Linked DNA regions of Diceros bicornis minor. The protein of the gene in region 1 interacts with the protein of each later gene in a pairwise test. Links are inferred from orthologs where the notes say so. Each region holds a gene or a part of one and is shown on either strand. Other genes may lie near its edges.

Region 1 (7,634 bases):
CATTCTGGCATTCTAGATGAAAAATTAAAGAAGCAAGTTAACACGTTAACCCTGAATCTGTAGTTGATGTACAAAGTAAAGACTGTGGGTCAGCAAGAAAAGGTTAAAATACATTCATTAATATTAATAAGAAAGAAGAAGTGCATTTCAGAAAGATTACAATGGTTGAAGTTTTATTGCTTAAAGGAGTAAATCTCAGTTATCTGGAAAATTAACTTTTGTGGAATACCTCTTTGCTTCTTAAAGGAAATGCTAATGCATTATATTGAGGTTATTATTGCAACAGAATTTTCTAAAATTTGTGAAGGTACTCCAGTCTGTTTCTGGAATCTATTCCAGGTATAGCATGTACTCACATGATTTTAGAATCCAGAGAAATATGGAGCAAAGGAGCAAACAGTTGGTTAGCTGGGACATTGGGTACAACAAAGAGATTAGCAAAGAAGAAAAGCTATGCAAATAAAATGCTTATAGATGACTAGTCTCATATTTCTTTGTTATTCGTATAAGTGCATCTCATGATGTATATAATCAGAGTCCTAGTTATTTAATCTTCTCCTTTCCTGTCCAATGCTTCTTTCAGGACCATGGTTTGTTGGTGAAATCATTAAGGGCAAATTGGGTTGCTGCTTTTCCTTTGGGATCTTTGTTGATGGACATTTCCTACAAGGCAGCATAACATTTATAGTTGGAGTTCTTCAGGTAAGAAGTCAGAAATGCAATTTAAGAACATCTTGGCCTTGTTGGACTAATTGCGTAACAGTTACAAATTAAATCCAAAATCCCAAATTAAACACCATAGATCATGTTTCCTAATTTACTGGCAGGGCAATCTTTAATATCTGGTGTTTTGTTTGCTTTTAGAGTGCTTCCTAAGCTCTTTCTTCCACTACTGTCTTGTAAATATCTAAAATACATTTTTGGCAAGCAGAGTTTATAAGAGGTGAAAGAGGTTTTTGTTTTTGTTGTTTGTTTCACTGTGCTTTTGCATTGACAAAAACTGAAATAAAGGACTTATGGTAGAATAAATGATAGACTTCTGAGTAAACCAAAATTGATTATGATAATGAAGAAGGAAAATGTTTCAGAGGGAGGAAAGGAAAAACAGACGCACAAGAAAAGCGGGTCAGTTACCCACTGGAAGCTACACTGGGCAAAAACCAGACTTGGCTTTCTAGTGATGTCTTAGCAGTACACTTGTTTGGGAAACACTCATACATTAGATTTACACTTGGATTAAGATTCCTTTAGGGGCTGGCCCCGTGGCATAGTGGTTGAGTTCGGTGCGTTCCACTTTGGTGGCCCAGGTTCTCTGGTTCGGATCCCGGCACGGACCTACACCACTCATCAGCCATGCTGTGGCAGCAACCCACATATAAAGTAGAGGAAGACTGGCACAGATGTTAGTTCATGGCTAATCTTCCTCAAGAAAAAAACTGAGGAGGATTGGCAACAGATGTTAGCTTAGGGCTAATCTTCCTCAGCAAAAAAAAAAAAAAAAAAAAACCCCACAAAGATTCCAACACAAAAAACTCTGACCTGTAGCAAATCTCTATAAATAGGTCTGAAAACTATTTACCTAACAATTTATTTTACTCACCTAATGGGGCTAATGGACCAAAATCTGAAGTGATGATCTGATGTTTTGGAAGAGATCCAAAAACATTGTTCAGAATGAGTTCACAGCCTTGTAATAGGATAGTGAAACATGATCAGCAGGATTAGGGAAGACCTCTGCCCAGCAAACACTGACTACAAGCCAGAACATTCTCTGTACAGCAGCTGTACAACATTCTCTGTACACATTGTATATGTGAGTAGGTCCCGGGTCCAGTTCAGTTTTCCATTATGTAGATGGAGGCTGGCCCTCCATCTGTGTGTGGAGCACTCTTATACCAAGTAAAACCTGATCCTTACCGAAAGGTGGGTATATATTTATATTTTAATAAAAGTACACTAATAACGGATTTTATGTGTCATGTAGGCCCATGACTCCCAAATCTACATCTCTGACCTAGACCTCTTCTTGGCACTTCAAGTGCTTATATATCCAACTGCCATTTCACATCTTCCCTTAGATATCTAAAAGCCATCTCAACTTAATATTACATCTCTAATAAGACCTTTAATTTCTACCCCCAAACCTGTGTTCCTCCCCAAATTCTTTCCAATTTCAATAAATGGCTCCACCATTCACTTAGTTTCTCCAGGATGTATCCTCAATTCTTCCCCTTACCTCATACCCTGTATCTAGTTCATCAGCAAGTAGTACCTTGTTTGAGCTACCTCCAATACATATCTTGAATCCACCCTTCTCTCCATCTCTGTTACGCCATCCTAGTCTAAGTCATAATTATTTCTTGCCTGGGCTACTGCACTAACCCCCTAACTGGTCTTCCCACTGCTGCTCTTGCCTCTCTACTATCAGTTCACCACAGAGCATCCACTGTGGTCCTTTTAAAACCTTAATCAGCTCACTTCTCAGCTTAAAACCCTTTAACCAGAGCAGTGACATGATCTGGGTCCTGCTGACTGCCCCCCTTTCCACCTGGCTCATCTTGTGCCAGGCCTATTGGCCTTAAATAGGCCAAGACTGCTTTTCATTGTTTCTTCTGCCTGAAATGTCCTTCCTTTCACTGACTCATTCCTGTCCTTCAGGCTTCAGAGATGGAAGGCTTCAGTCCTTCCATCTCCCAATTACCCTCTCATAACTCAGTTATTTCTTTTATTGAATTTATCACAATCTGTAATTATCTTTTTTTTTTGGTTTCTCTTCTCCCTGTTAGAATGTAACCTCTATGATGCATCTTTTCGGACTTGTTCACCAGTATGTTCCTAGTCTAGAGCTAGCACAGTGCCTGACACATAATGAGTGCTCAATAATTATCTGGTGAATGAATGAATGAATGAATCATACAGCAGCTAACCTTATTATAACTTAAATCTTTTAATTTGTATTCTAGTATTCATCAGGCTACTTCAAATAAAAATACAGATAAAAAAATATTGACACCCAAGTTCCTCCCTCACTGTGCCAAAAAAAAAACCCCAAGTATATATATTGACCTGCACATATTCAATTCATTTCTACCTTAAACATTATTGAGGGCTTCAACATAAATGAAATGATACCTGCCTTTAAGATGAACAGAAGGATACAGGCAAATATACAGCTAACTACAAGTCAACTGTTGTGTTATATGCAAATGTGATTGAAGCTTAAAGAATCAGAGAGTTAACCCCCAAGAGAGAAAGCAACATATTCTTAGGAGCCACCAATAATGTGTTAGTGAGACCCCACCCCTCCAGGGGCTTGCTATTAAGCAAATGGTTTGTTCTGCTTCTCTTTCCAGCTGGTGTTTTTTAACATCCCCTTGATGGCTTACCTGTGTTGGAGCTTGCTGCAGCGGTGCTTTGGTCACAACTTCAGGTCTCATCTCCGTCAAGGAAGATACTTGAAAGTCATACTTGTTCACCTGCTAATGGTACTGCTGTACATCTGGCAGATTTATTCCTGCTATGTTCTTCATATGACGTATGGCACTTTAGCTTTTTTATTCTCCCCACTGCGGACCTGGTTGACACTGCTGACACCTGTTTTCATTCGTTGTGTGTGGACACTGAACTCTACTGAGCTTGGAACCTTCATAGTGCAGTTAAAAAGCCACCTGAGCTCCTGAAGGCCATCTCACCACCCGCCTGTCAGTAGCCCAGGCCTCTGCCCCAGCAACAGGTGAAAGGCCAGTATTGGTGGGCTGCTGCTGCTTGGATGGTTGGGAGTTGGGGGGATTACCCACTACTGATTTCTGCAGCATGGACTGCAGAAAAGTGTCTAAATGATGTTGATTCCTTCCTTCCCCAAGAAGGCAAAGGGTTGATTTACATTTGTGAAGAGAAAGCCCTAATCTAGGAGATCCACACGGCAGGGACTGGGTGTATGGGAGTATCTGAGGCCGAGTGTGTTTTTTAAGATTACCTCATGTAAAGTATCTAGCACAGTGTCTGGAACTCAGCAGCCATTACGGGTGCCACTTTAGGGGCGGAGAACCACTGCGAACTTGGGCCCGACCCTGACTACGCTTGAGATATTAGCTCCCAGTCCTCTTTTCCCGCAGGGTTATGGGTTCTCTGCTCCCTTAGTCGGGGGTGTTTTCAACTAATCAAATAAATGAATAACGAATAAGAAGTAACTCAGAGAGGTCCTTGCTTGTGTGGCCCGGCCTCTAGGGCGGAAGGAGGGGTGGCCCGGCCTCTGGGGACGGGGAGGGGGAGTCGTGGCCTGGCCTTTGGGGCGGGAGAAGGCGTGGCCGGGCCTCTGGGGCGCAAGGAGGCGTGGCCGGGCCTCTGAGGGCGGGGGGGGAGGCGTGGCCGGGCCTCTGAGGACGAGGGGAGGCGTGGCCGGGCCTCTGGGGCGGAAGGAGGAGTGGCTCGGCCTCGGGATGGCAGGAGGCGTGGGTGGGCCTCTGGGGCGGAAGAAGGCCTCGCCGGGCCTCTGGGGACCGGAGGGGGTGTGGCCGGGCCTTTGGGGCGGGGCGGGGCGGCGGGGAGGCGGGTTGTTGCCGGAAGCGAATCCCGGTCTGTGACGCCCGGAAGTGGAGCGGCTACCGCAGTGGGACACGGGCAGCTGCCTTGGCTGCTTTTGTCTGCAGGCTCTAGGAGGTCTACTGAGATGGCGGGCGCAGCTGCGCCTGCAGCCGCATTCTCTACCCTGGCTCCGCCTTTGGAGCAGCTCCGGCACTTAGCAAGGGAGCTGCGGTTGCTCCTGCCTGGAGTGCGGGGTGAGCTGACGCAGTTGGGACAGGCGACGGCAGGGGCGCGCTTGGGGTGGGGGAGAGGCCAGGCTGTGGCGGCGGCGGAGGCGGGGGCCCGCGCGGAGGAGGTGGGGGCAGGAGGTGGCTCCGCTTACCCGGCCATTTTTTTTGCCATTACCCGGCCCACACGCCTCGCCCACCAGTCGGTGAAGCCCAGGAGACCACCAAGGAGTTTAATCGGGAGACGTTTTGGAGAAGACTCAGTGAGTGCCTCTCCTGTTCCCATCTGTCATGTCCTCCAGCGTCCCGACCCCTTTCCCTCTCGCTTTCCCCCCGCCGCATCCTCTCTGTGGGGATACCTCACCTTACCGGTACATCCTCGGCATTTCAGGGGTTGATATAAAACATTGATTTTTGGAGGTGTTTTTGAGACTTCTCAGCCGGCAGGGGTGGAGAAGGGAGCGCGTTATCTTCCAAGTCCGTGCAGCAGCTGCAGCATCATCCTTTTAGCGCTAACATATTGACTCCTGTTTCCTCGTCTGTCACCCCTAGATGAGGCCGCTGTGAAAGTGTCAAGGGAAGCCACGACTCTGACCGAAGCCTTTTCTCGACTTCCGTTGCCGTCTCCACAGGTGGGCTTTACCTTCCTGGAATCAATGTGCTGCCGCCTTATTCCTTAGGAATGCTCTCATTTTCTTTCCACCTTTTGCACTTAAGCCAGGGAATTTATTTTTCTCACCTGTCAAATAAGATTTCAGGATTGTTGCGAAGACCAAATTGCCAAGTGCAGTACCTGGCATGGAGTGGGAAAGTCTTCTAAATATTGGTTCAATTTGAAGTTCATCCTGGTCATCTCCTTCCTGATAATTTTTTTAAGCACTTGCTATTTGCTAGGTGTTTTCACATGCATGATCCCCATCTGACAGATGAGTAAGCAGGCTCAGAGGCTCAAGTTAAGGTAAAAAAGCAGTGGAGATGGGATTTAAATTAGAGTCTATCTGATGTCTAGGCTATGCCTTTTCTGTTATGCTACATAATACCCTTTTTGTGTTGTATTATTTCTTATATTTAATCAGTAACATATGTATACAGTGTGAAATTCAAAAGATATCAAAGTTGTGTGCTAAAAAGTTTATATCTCCCCTCCCCAGTTACTTTTGTATTATTCCATATATATTCTATGCTTCTTTTTACACAAATGAAAGGATGCCATAAACACTTTTCTGGACCTTCCTTTCTTAAAAAAATTATCAATCATAGCACATATAAATTGATTCTTAGCAGCACATATAAAGTTGCTCAGGTCTTTCTAATGGCTGCATGGTATTCAATAGAGTGGATATAACCATAATTTATTTAGACAATACTCTAAGTAGACATTTAAGCTGTTGCCAACTTGTAACTATTATAAACAGTGCTGTGGTGAATTACAGTCTTTTTTGTGTGTGTATCTGTAAAAAAAATTCTCAGAAGTGGAATTGCTAGAACAAAGAATGTATGCATTTTTAATAACTGTAACTATAATAACTTTATTATAAAACTAATGAAAGTAAACATGTTGGCTGTGACTAGTTTTTCTAGAGCTAGATGTACTTAATTTGGGAGTAGGGTTATTTTAGAATGACATATTCGTTGCCATATTTGGTTTCCATAGTCAGTAGTTTCCTTCTTTTTCTCAATCTATATATTCAGATGTTTTGAAATGAAAAAAAACTTTTTTGCTGCATCTACAGTGATAAACTCTCTCCCCCTGCATACCTCAGAGATCTGTGATGAGGAAACAAGAGATGAATTGTATGAGAGCACTTTAAAAGCTTTGTGAAAGTCAATATTTATTTCAAAAGGAGTAGTAGTATTACCTTCAATCTGCTGACTCCTTTCTTTCAAATACACTTAGGACTTGCTGCTAAAATTTATAGCTAGTAAGATACCGTGAGGTGGCAGCATAGAACTGTTTTTCTGTACATGCTCAGGACAGTGGTTTCACTCATGGATGAAAAATTAGAATTTGGTTTTATTTGAATTATATATATTTGAATCACAATTGCTTTCTTAGAATCTCAGCATGTTAGTCCTACTGAAGAATGGTTTTGTTTTTTTTTTAATTCCAGTCCATATGGACTGGTATTTTTATAAAATTATGTTTGGATGTTGAAGCAGTGTCAAATTGCCACAAAAGTTTCTGAACGCTCTCATTCACCGTACTTATCCATCCTAGACTGTGATGAACCGTTTATGGACTAGCACCAATCTGTGGACCAATTTTGCATAGCACTGGCTTAGAGTTTAGTAGAGAAGCGAAGACAAGGAAGATAAGAGAAAGCCAGTGACTGCTTAGAAGGAAAATAGTCAGCATTGAGCATTGTAGAGTCCATGCTAATTACCTTTAGGTATACTGTCATGACTAGCTTAATGACGGATACATTCTGAGAAATGCATCCTTAGGCGATTTTGTTGTTGTGCAAACATCATAGGGTGTACTTACACAAACCTAGATGGTATAGCCTACTACACACCTAGGCTTTACAGTACTAATCTTATGGGACCACTGTGGTCCGTCATTGTTGGAAACATTATTATGCAGCATATGACTGTACTGTGATTCTGTTAAGAGAGAGACAGATGGCGAGACAGAGAGATCAGACACCTGGTTAGTGGTCTAAGGTAGGGTTGGCAAACTTCTTCTGTAAAGGGCCAGATAGTAAATATTTTAGGCTTTGCAGGCCAACTGCTTAGCTCTGCCCTTGTGGTGCGAACACAACTACAGACGGTCCCCGACTTACGATGGTTCAACTTAACGATTTTTTGACTTTATGATGGTGCTGTGTGAAAGCAATACTCATTCAATAGAAAGCAGTATGCATTCAGTAGAAACTGTACTTC
Region 2 (7,662 bases), on another chromosome or scaffold:
GCCCTGAGCTAACATCCATGCCCATCTTCCTCTATTTAATATATGGGATAGATATAATAATATGTATATAATTACTTTTTGATAATGGTTGTGTTTAACAACCAGCTCACAAAATTCCTGAAAATTTAAGGACAGGCTCTTGGGAGCTTCTCAGTATTTCTCAGTTACCCTTAGAGTCTGAATCCCACAACCTTGGGATGCAGACAACAGCAGCCTCCCCACTTCCATAACCGTTCTCCTAACTCCTGAGGCTGCTTTTCAGCTCCTTCCTGGCCTCTCTCTGCCATGTTGTCTCTGAATTGTCTAGGATGGGGATCCCAGGTGCTGTCACAGGGGTCTGCACGGGATCCCCTGGGCCCAGGCGTCTTGCCTCTTCCTGTTGGTGCCCCGGCAGCTTTCCCAAGTGAATGAAAGCAAACGTGGGCTACTTTTCTGGTCTTCTCTGGATCCCTGAGTGGAGGCCTGGCTCCGGGCTCTCTCACCAGCTCACCTGCAGCTGTCTTGGAGAGAGACTACAGAGCCTGTGAAACCCACATAGGCCTCCCCTGGCCCAGGCATCCCCCAGCACAGGCGGTAAGCTCTCCAGTTTGGGATCAGCCTCCGCACTGTGGCCACCTCCTAGGCAGAGAAAGAGAGGGCCCTGAGGTCCACGGTCCTCCATGGGTGAAGCGTGGCCAGGTCTCAGACATCTAAAGTCCAGGCTGAGAGAGTTGACTGGCCACAGGCACCTCGAGACCACTCTCTGGAGGGGGAAGCGACGGTGACTCAGGATACAGCCCGGGCTGCACTGGGCGCAGCAGTACCAGATGCTGGGGGAGCAGCAGCCCCAGCCTGCCACCAGCTCACCTGGATTGTGGCCTGTGGTCCCCTGTCTGGGAGACACCAACTTGGGCCCCTTGGGGCCGCATCCCTTGGCTCCCACCGCCTTTCCCTGGGCCCTGCCCTGTGGTCCCCCTTGCAGGCCAATCTGGGGAGTATCCACCCAGTTCCTCCTGGCCCTACCCAGGGAGCAAATCCGGAGGTTGAAGTTCCATCTCCTGCCCGGAGCCCCAACTTCACAAGCTTGTTTATCATTTGGGTTTTTCAGCCTTGTCTCTGCAGTGTGCTTCCCTCCCTGTCCTCCTCTGGGACACTGACCTCCACCATGCAAAGGTTGTACTCCAGGCCACTGCTGCCTGCTTCCAGACCCGGAGCGCAACAATCCCAGGACTCGTCCAGGCCACGCTTTGAGTTTCTGATCTATTTCTGAAACACAGAGGTTCTTATCTTATTTTTGAGTTCAGCCACGTCTCCTCTCTCTGTCTTTCTGTGCCTGTTTCTCTGTCTCTCTCCCCCAGGCATTCAGAAATACTCTAGTGGGGGCACCATCCTGGATCAGCTTCCTGAGGATTGAAGATGCTCAGGGAGGCCCTGCGGTTAACACGGAGGCTGACGTCAGGGAGTAGGGGACCCTGACAGGCAGCAAGACAGTGAGGCAGCCCGGGGTTATGTGCAGGGATGGCCGTGGGCTCCCCTGGACCAAACAAAGGGGCAGCCACTAAGGTGCCGATTGGCATGGCAATGGGCTGAGAAAATGCAGGTCTGGGGCCGGCCCCTTGCCCAATTCCTAGCCCTGTGTAGCTTCATGGATCTGGGTCCCTGGAGAGAAGAGAAGACTGGGCACCCAGAAAGAATGTGGCAGCAGCCCCACAACGAGGCTTGGCCTTCCCCAGCCTGGCCTCCCTAGATAGACACTGGTCAGGATGGTCTGCTTTTCTGGCCCAGCGCCCTCAGCACCACCTTGGTGGCCTCACAGGATCCCTGAGCCTCAGTTGGGGTTTCCCTTGAGGACAGAAGAACTCACAATGAGTGAAGTGAGGCAGTAAGCTGACCCTGCGAGCACCCCACCTTCCCAGAAGCAGCAGCCAGTGTGCAGCCGTGTGGAACAGCGGGATGGCCTTTGGGAGGCTGGGTCCCACCACCCCAGCTGTAGTCACACCCTGAGGTTTGGCAGAGAATAAAGGGCTCGTCCATGAGGCCGTTTGTCCTCAGCAAGTGCACAGGCCCAGGGCCATCCCTGACGCTGTGGCTCTTCTGACGTAGAGGCTACGTATTCAGGGAGGGCTGCTTCCATCGGGCTCTACAGTGGAGCTGACCCCCCAGGTCATCCCGCAGCCTCCCCTGGCTTTGAGGCAGCCTTGCCTACTCCATCTTCAAATCGTTCTCTTCTCTCAGTTTCCGCTGGTGATGCCAACCCATCCCGGGGCCAAGGTGGACCAGTGGTCCCTGGGGGGCTGCGCCCTCCTCTAATCCCTCCTCCAGCCCCACTTCTGCACATCCTCAGGGAAGCATCAATGGGGCGTGGGGCGGGACTTTCCTCGGGGTGGGGGCGTGCAGGAGAGGGGGCTGGGTGCCTGTTGGGGTGTCCTCAGACACACCAGGTTCCAGGACTTTCCAGGAGGACATACTGCTGTCCTCCCATTTAGGGGTGTGTGTGCAGTCTGATAAAGATGACCTAGGCCTCGAGTTTGACTGGGAAGTCATAGGAGAGAGGGCCCGAGGAACAACTGAAATGGCATGGTGAGGGGGGTGCAATCAGGAAAGTGCCGTCTGGGGCCCTGCAGGGGACAGTGGCTAGGCTTCTTCAGCACCTACATGGCAGGGGGAAAAAAGGGACAAGCAAACCAATCATAACATATGGACCTTACTGGGATCTTGATTTGAACAAACTGTGTGCAGTCGGATATATGAAATCATATCCATATGTACACACACACACACATATGAAATTTGCACACGGACTCCATATTTGATATGAAGGAATTATAATTAATTTTTATATTTTTATTTTTGAAAAACATACAATAAAATTGCCTTTTTTAGCGTACAGTTCTATGAATTTTAATGCATGTATAGATTTGTGTGATCCCCCCCACAATCAGGATACAGAGCAGTCCCATCACCCCTCAAAGGCTTGCTCCTGCTGCTCCTCTGTAGGGACAGGCTGCTCCCCCAACCTCTGGAAAGCACTGATCAGTTCCCCTTGGCTGATATTTTGTTGTTTTGACAACATCGCCTAAGTGGAATCATATACTATGTAACCTTTTGAGACTGGCTTCTTCCTCTGACATGACATCTGTAGGGTTCACCCAAGATGTCACATGTATCAGTAGTTCCCTCTTTTTGACTGCTCAGCAGTATTTCAGCATATGGATGGACCACAGTTTATCCACTCACCCGCTAAAAGGCCTCTGGGGTGTTTCCACTTGGGGCTATGTGAATAGGTATGCTGTAGACATTTATGTACAGGTTTTTTGTGTGAAGATAAGTTTTCATTTCTCTAGAATAAATACCTAGGAGTGGGAATGCTGGGACACATGTTAGGTGTAGAGTGGACTTTTTTTTTCCTGAGGAATATTGGCCTTGAGCTAACATCCATTGACAATCTTCCTCTTTTTGCTTGAGGATGATTGGCCCTGAGCTAATATCTGTGCCAATCTTCCTCTATTTTGTATGTGGGTTGCCACCACAGCATGGCTGATGAGTGGTCAAGTCCATGCCTAGAATCTGAACCTGCAAACCTGGGCCACCAAAGAGGAGCGTGCTGAACTTAACCACTACGCCACGGGGCCGGCCCCCTCATTTTAACCATTTTTAAATGTACAATTCAGTGGCATTAAATACATTCACATTGTTGTGCCACCATCACCACCATCCATCTCCATAACTCTTTTCATCTTGTAAAACTGAAACTCTGTCCCCATTAAACACTAACTCCCCAATCCCTCTCCTCCAGCCCCCGGCACCCACCACTCTACTTTCCCTCTCTACGACTTTGACGACTCTAGGGACCTCATACAAGTGGAATCATACAATATTTGTCCTTCCGTGTCTGGCTTATTTCACTGAGCATAATGTCCTCCAGGTTCATCCACGTTGTAGTCTGTGTCAGAATTTCCTTCCTTCTTCGGGGAAGAATAATATTCCACTGCACGTATGGACCACATTTTCTTTCTGCATTCGACCCTCGACTGACATTTGGCTTGCTGCAGGGGCAGCTCCCAGGGACAGGACGGTGGCAGCGGGGACAAGACGGTGGGCCGATGCCCGCCAAGATGGAAGGGAGGAGGAAATGCAGGCCAGGGGAGTGGGGATGGAGAAGGACATGAAGGGACTGGAAGGGAGTACAGAGCGGGGACAGCAGGAGAGGGACGGTGGGGAGGGGAGATGAGGCGGGGACGGCAGGCCGCCGGAGAAAGCGGCAATAGCGGACCAAGGCGGAAGACGGAGAGCAGAGAAGGAGGAGCGGAGGACGGCCTCTACCCAACCGCTGCCCGGCTCCGCCCCCTGCCCTGCCTGGCCCCTCCCCTGCCCTGCCCCACCCCGCGGCCTGCCGGGAGACGTAGTCCGCAGTCGCTCAGGAAGCCCGACTCGGAGTCCCAGCGAGCCCCGCGGCGCGCGTGCGCGCCGCGGCACCGCCCGCCCCGTGGCCTGCCGGGATTTGTAGTCCAGCGCCGGCGGGCACCCGGGCGCGGGGCGGGCGGGGGGACTCGGTGTCCCAGAGAGCCCCGCGCTGGGCCACGACGCCGCGCGCCGCCCTCGCCGTCGCCGCCGCCGGGCTTTCTCCGCCGCCGCTGCCGCTGCCGCTGCTTCGCGGGTTGGAGGGCCCAGGCGTACCCCGGCGAGCGGAGGCTGCTGGTGGGAGCCTTCGCGGGCACTGCAGAGCGGGCCGGGGGAGGCCGGGATGGAGCCCCCCGGAGGTGGGCGCGCTGCCGGACGGGCCCGCGCCTGGGGCGGTTGCGGAGGGGTCCGAGCGGTGGGGGGAATGGGGCGGGGTAGGGCTCTGGGGGCGGGGCTTGGCGGGGGGGGTGGGCGCTGGGGGGGGTCGGCGCTGGGGGCGCGGCTTGGCTTGGGGGAGGGTGCTGGAGGTGGAGTGAGAGCAATGGGGGCGGGGGAAAGGCTCGGGGTGGGGCTTGGCGGGGGAGTGGGTGCTGGAGGCGGGGTCCGGCGGTGGGGGGGGTGTCACGGGGGGGTGGGGCTTGGCGCTGGGGCGGGGCTTACTGGGGAGGGCGCTAGGGGCGGGGCTTGGCTGGGGGGAGGGCGCCGGGGGCGGGACCTGGCGGGAGGAGGGCGCTGGGGGCCTGGCTCAGCGGTGGGGGATGGCCTAGGGGAGGGGCGAGGGCGCTGGGGGCGGACGGGGTGGGGGGGGGTGAGGAAGCCGGCCTGGAGGAAGGTTGGAGGCTGGGGGCAGGGGTGGGAGGGGCTTCCAGGGGGTGCCCCGGGTTGGTGAGCCCTTCGGGGGTTGGGCCGGCAGGGCTGGGCGGGCGGCCTTTGGGGGTCTTGTTGGGAGGGGGCGAACAGGGCACCCAGGGGCCTGCTCTCCTTCTAGTTGACTGAAGCGAGCAAGCCGGGTTCCAGAGCCTCAAGACGGGATCTTGGGGCCTCCTGGGGTTGCAGCGGATGGTCTGAGGGCAGCGCAGACATGGCTCACCTCAGGGGATTCGCCAACCAGGTGAGGGTTGGTTTCTGCCTTGTAAGCGTGTGTTCGTGCTTGAGCCCCCCAAGGGGAGTGCAGACTGCAGAGTCCAAGAGAGGTGTGGATCACGAGAGACGTCTTATTTCACCCAGAAGTATCTTTTGAAAATCATCCTGGGGGTTTGGGAGAGCGGTCTATTAAGGGGATGTGGGCTGAAGGGAGGAGTGTTCTTGGGGAACCCTGTGATGCCCGTCATGGGCAAAGTGGGGACCATTCCTGAGGTGCTCAGGCTTGGTGGGGAGCAGGGCTGACTCAGGGTGGCCCATGGGGTGTGCTGTGGGGCAGAAGCCCACAGGCCTTTGAGACTAGAGCCACAGTGCAAGATCCAGGAGGGTGTGCAGAGACCTATCTTGGGCGCAGGGCTGGGTGGCTTGGGTGGGAATCCTGCAGGAACCTGGATCTGCGCATCTGGAGGGACGTCAAAGAGCAGGGTCCACGCTGGAGACCCCCACCTGACGGACAATCCAGAGGGGCTGGGATTGTCGTTAAGTGGCTGTGGTGTAAGAGTCGGCATGTAGGGAAAGCAGAGGACGCGAGTGCGAGTGTTTCCACTGGGGGAGGTGGAGAAGGCTGCTCTGCAGAACCTGTGTAAGCCAGGCGAGAAGTGCTTCCCTGGAAGAGGCCAACCGTCTCTCTTCTTTGGGCGATTAGTTCTCGTAGTTCCCAACACCGAGCCGCCTGGAGGTGTCTGGCCTTGCATGTTCACTGGCTGACTCCCTGGGAGCCCTCCACAGAGTTTGCCTGGAACGAGGACCTGCTGCTGGTGCCTGGTGCTGGGAAAGGAGGGTCGGTGGCAGCCGGCGGGGGTGTGGTAGTCTGCGTCTCTCCGCCTTTTTGTTTTTTCAAAGCCAGTGTGACCTGAAGCTGACTGCGCTAGAATACACCACTGCGGTGGCCAGGTGTTCCTGCATCCTGGCTGTTTGGTTTTGTTCGGTTTGGGCACGATTTGGGCTGACTGCTGCCAGGTGTGGGAATCTCCCCTTAAAGGGAGTGTAGCCCTCTGGCTTGCTCCTGTGTGCTGAATCAGTGAGGACTGGGCATGCGAGGAACAGGAAGCGTGTGTGTCCTCTTGGGGGCCAGAGGGGCTGGAGTCAGAGCTCAGCTCCAGACCCAGCCGGGCTCTGTGGAGAAACCTGGAACGCCACGCGCAGCTGTTGGGCATGGCATCCGGGACCAGCTGTGGCCACAGATGGGAGCGAGGGCTTGCTGACTGACGCTGAATTAAGCTAACAGATTTTTCATTCATTTTTGACATTTTGTGTCTGGTAAATTACATGACTAAGATGCTGTGCAAAAACTTTGTCTCCAGCTTATTTTTAAGAGCTGTAGGAATAGCTCCCCTGGGACCCAGTATGAGGAACTGGAGCCTTGAGCTGCCTCTGTCCCCTGTGTGCCACTGGTGCGTGGCGCTTAGCCTGGGCGTCTGGATGAGACCTGGGAGGGAGTGCGGGTGTGGAGGAGCTGGGGAAGGGACCCTAAAGGAAGGAAGCCCCCTTTGTCCTTTCAGGGGCGGAGAGACTCAGCCTTTGTCGGTGGCAGGAAGCTTGACAGGATGTCGTTTTCTCTTGAGGGTTGTCACTGTGGCCCTGTGGGGCAGCAGGACGTGCTCCCCCGTGGCCTGTGCTCCTGCCCTAGATGGCTGTCCTACACCTAGCTAGTTCCTGCCCCGCCTACAGGGCCTGAGTGGCTGCGGGGTCCCCCGTGTCGTGCTCGCTTGGCTGCAGCCCGTTTTGTGGTGGCTGGGGATGGCTTGGCTCCCTTCATTTTGTGGGGTGACACTAACGCCAGACACAATCCCAGGTGGTGGCCCTGGACCTGGCAGCCCCAGGGCTGATTTGACGCCATTGACAATAGCATCATTTGAACTGATGCCAGAGCCAGTCCAGGGGCCTGAGTGATTGTCTAGACCATGTGCGTCATCTAGAAGGGCAGCCTGAGGCCCCCAGACTTGGAAGCTACTTGCATTTCCTTCACCTGGTGGGGCTGGGAGCGGGTTGTCCCTGTGATGTGCTTGGAGGGTCAGGATCACAGCTAGGAGTGTTCCTGTCATGCTGTCTGCTCAGGTGACTGACCTGCAGTGGTGTGAACCCAAAGAGTGTGAAAGTTGGGGGTTGGGGCTCCCCGCTTCCCTGCCGAGCCTGGAACTC

The links.
Region 2: the proteins of CCNDBP1 (region 1) and STK25 interact in binary tests that used the Homo sapiens proteins (3 or more experiments, as listed by UniProt). The two-hybrid records come from large-scale screens. The link is inferred for Diceros bicornis minor from reciprocal best matches to the Homo sapiens genes CCNDBP1 and STK25.

Annotation. Positions count from the first base shown.
Region 1 is NC_080744.1:40,641,534-40,649,167, forward strand, and holds the start of CCNDBP1 (cyclin-D1-binding protein 1), read left to right. Parts: upstream 1-4,573; 5' UTR 4,574-4,669; coding exon 4,670-4,778; intron 4,779-4,954; coding exon 4,955-5,014; intron 5,015-5,303; coding exon 5,304-5,383; intron 5,384-7,634. Other genes in the region: TMEM62 (transmembrane protein 62), read left to right, coding at 584-702, 3,354-3,680. UniProt on the Homo sapiens protein: May negatively regulate cell cycle progression. May act at least in part via inhibition of the cyclin-D1/CDK4 complex, thereby preventing phosphorylation of RB1 and blocking E2F-dependent transcription.
Region 2 is NC_080776.1:28,317,252-28,324,913, reverse strand, and holds the start of STK25 (serine/threonine-protein kinase 25), read left to right. Parts: upstream 1-4,591; 5' UTR 4,592-4,677; exon of another isoform or gene 4,678-4,739; intron 4,740-5,368; 5' UTR 5,369-5,461; coding exon 5,462-5,491; intron 5,492-7,662. UniProt on the Homo sapiens protein: Oxidant stress-activated serine/threonine kinase that may play a role in the response to environmental stress.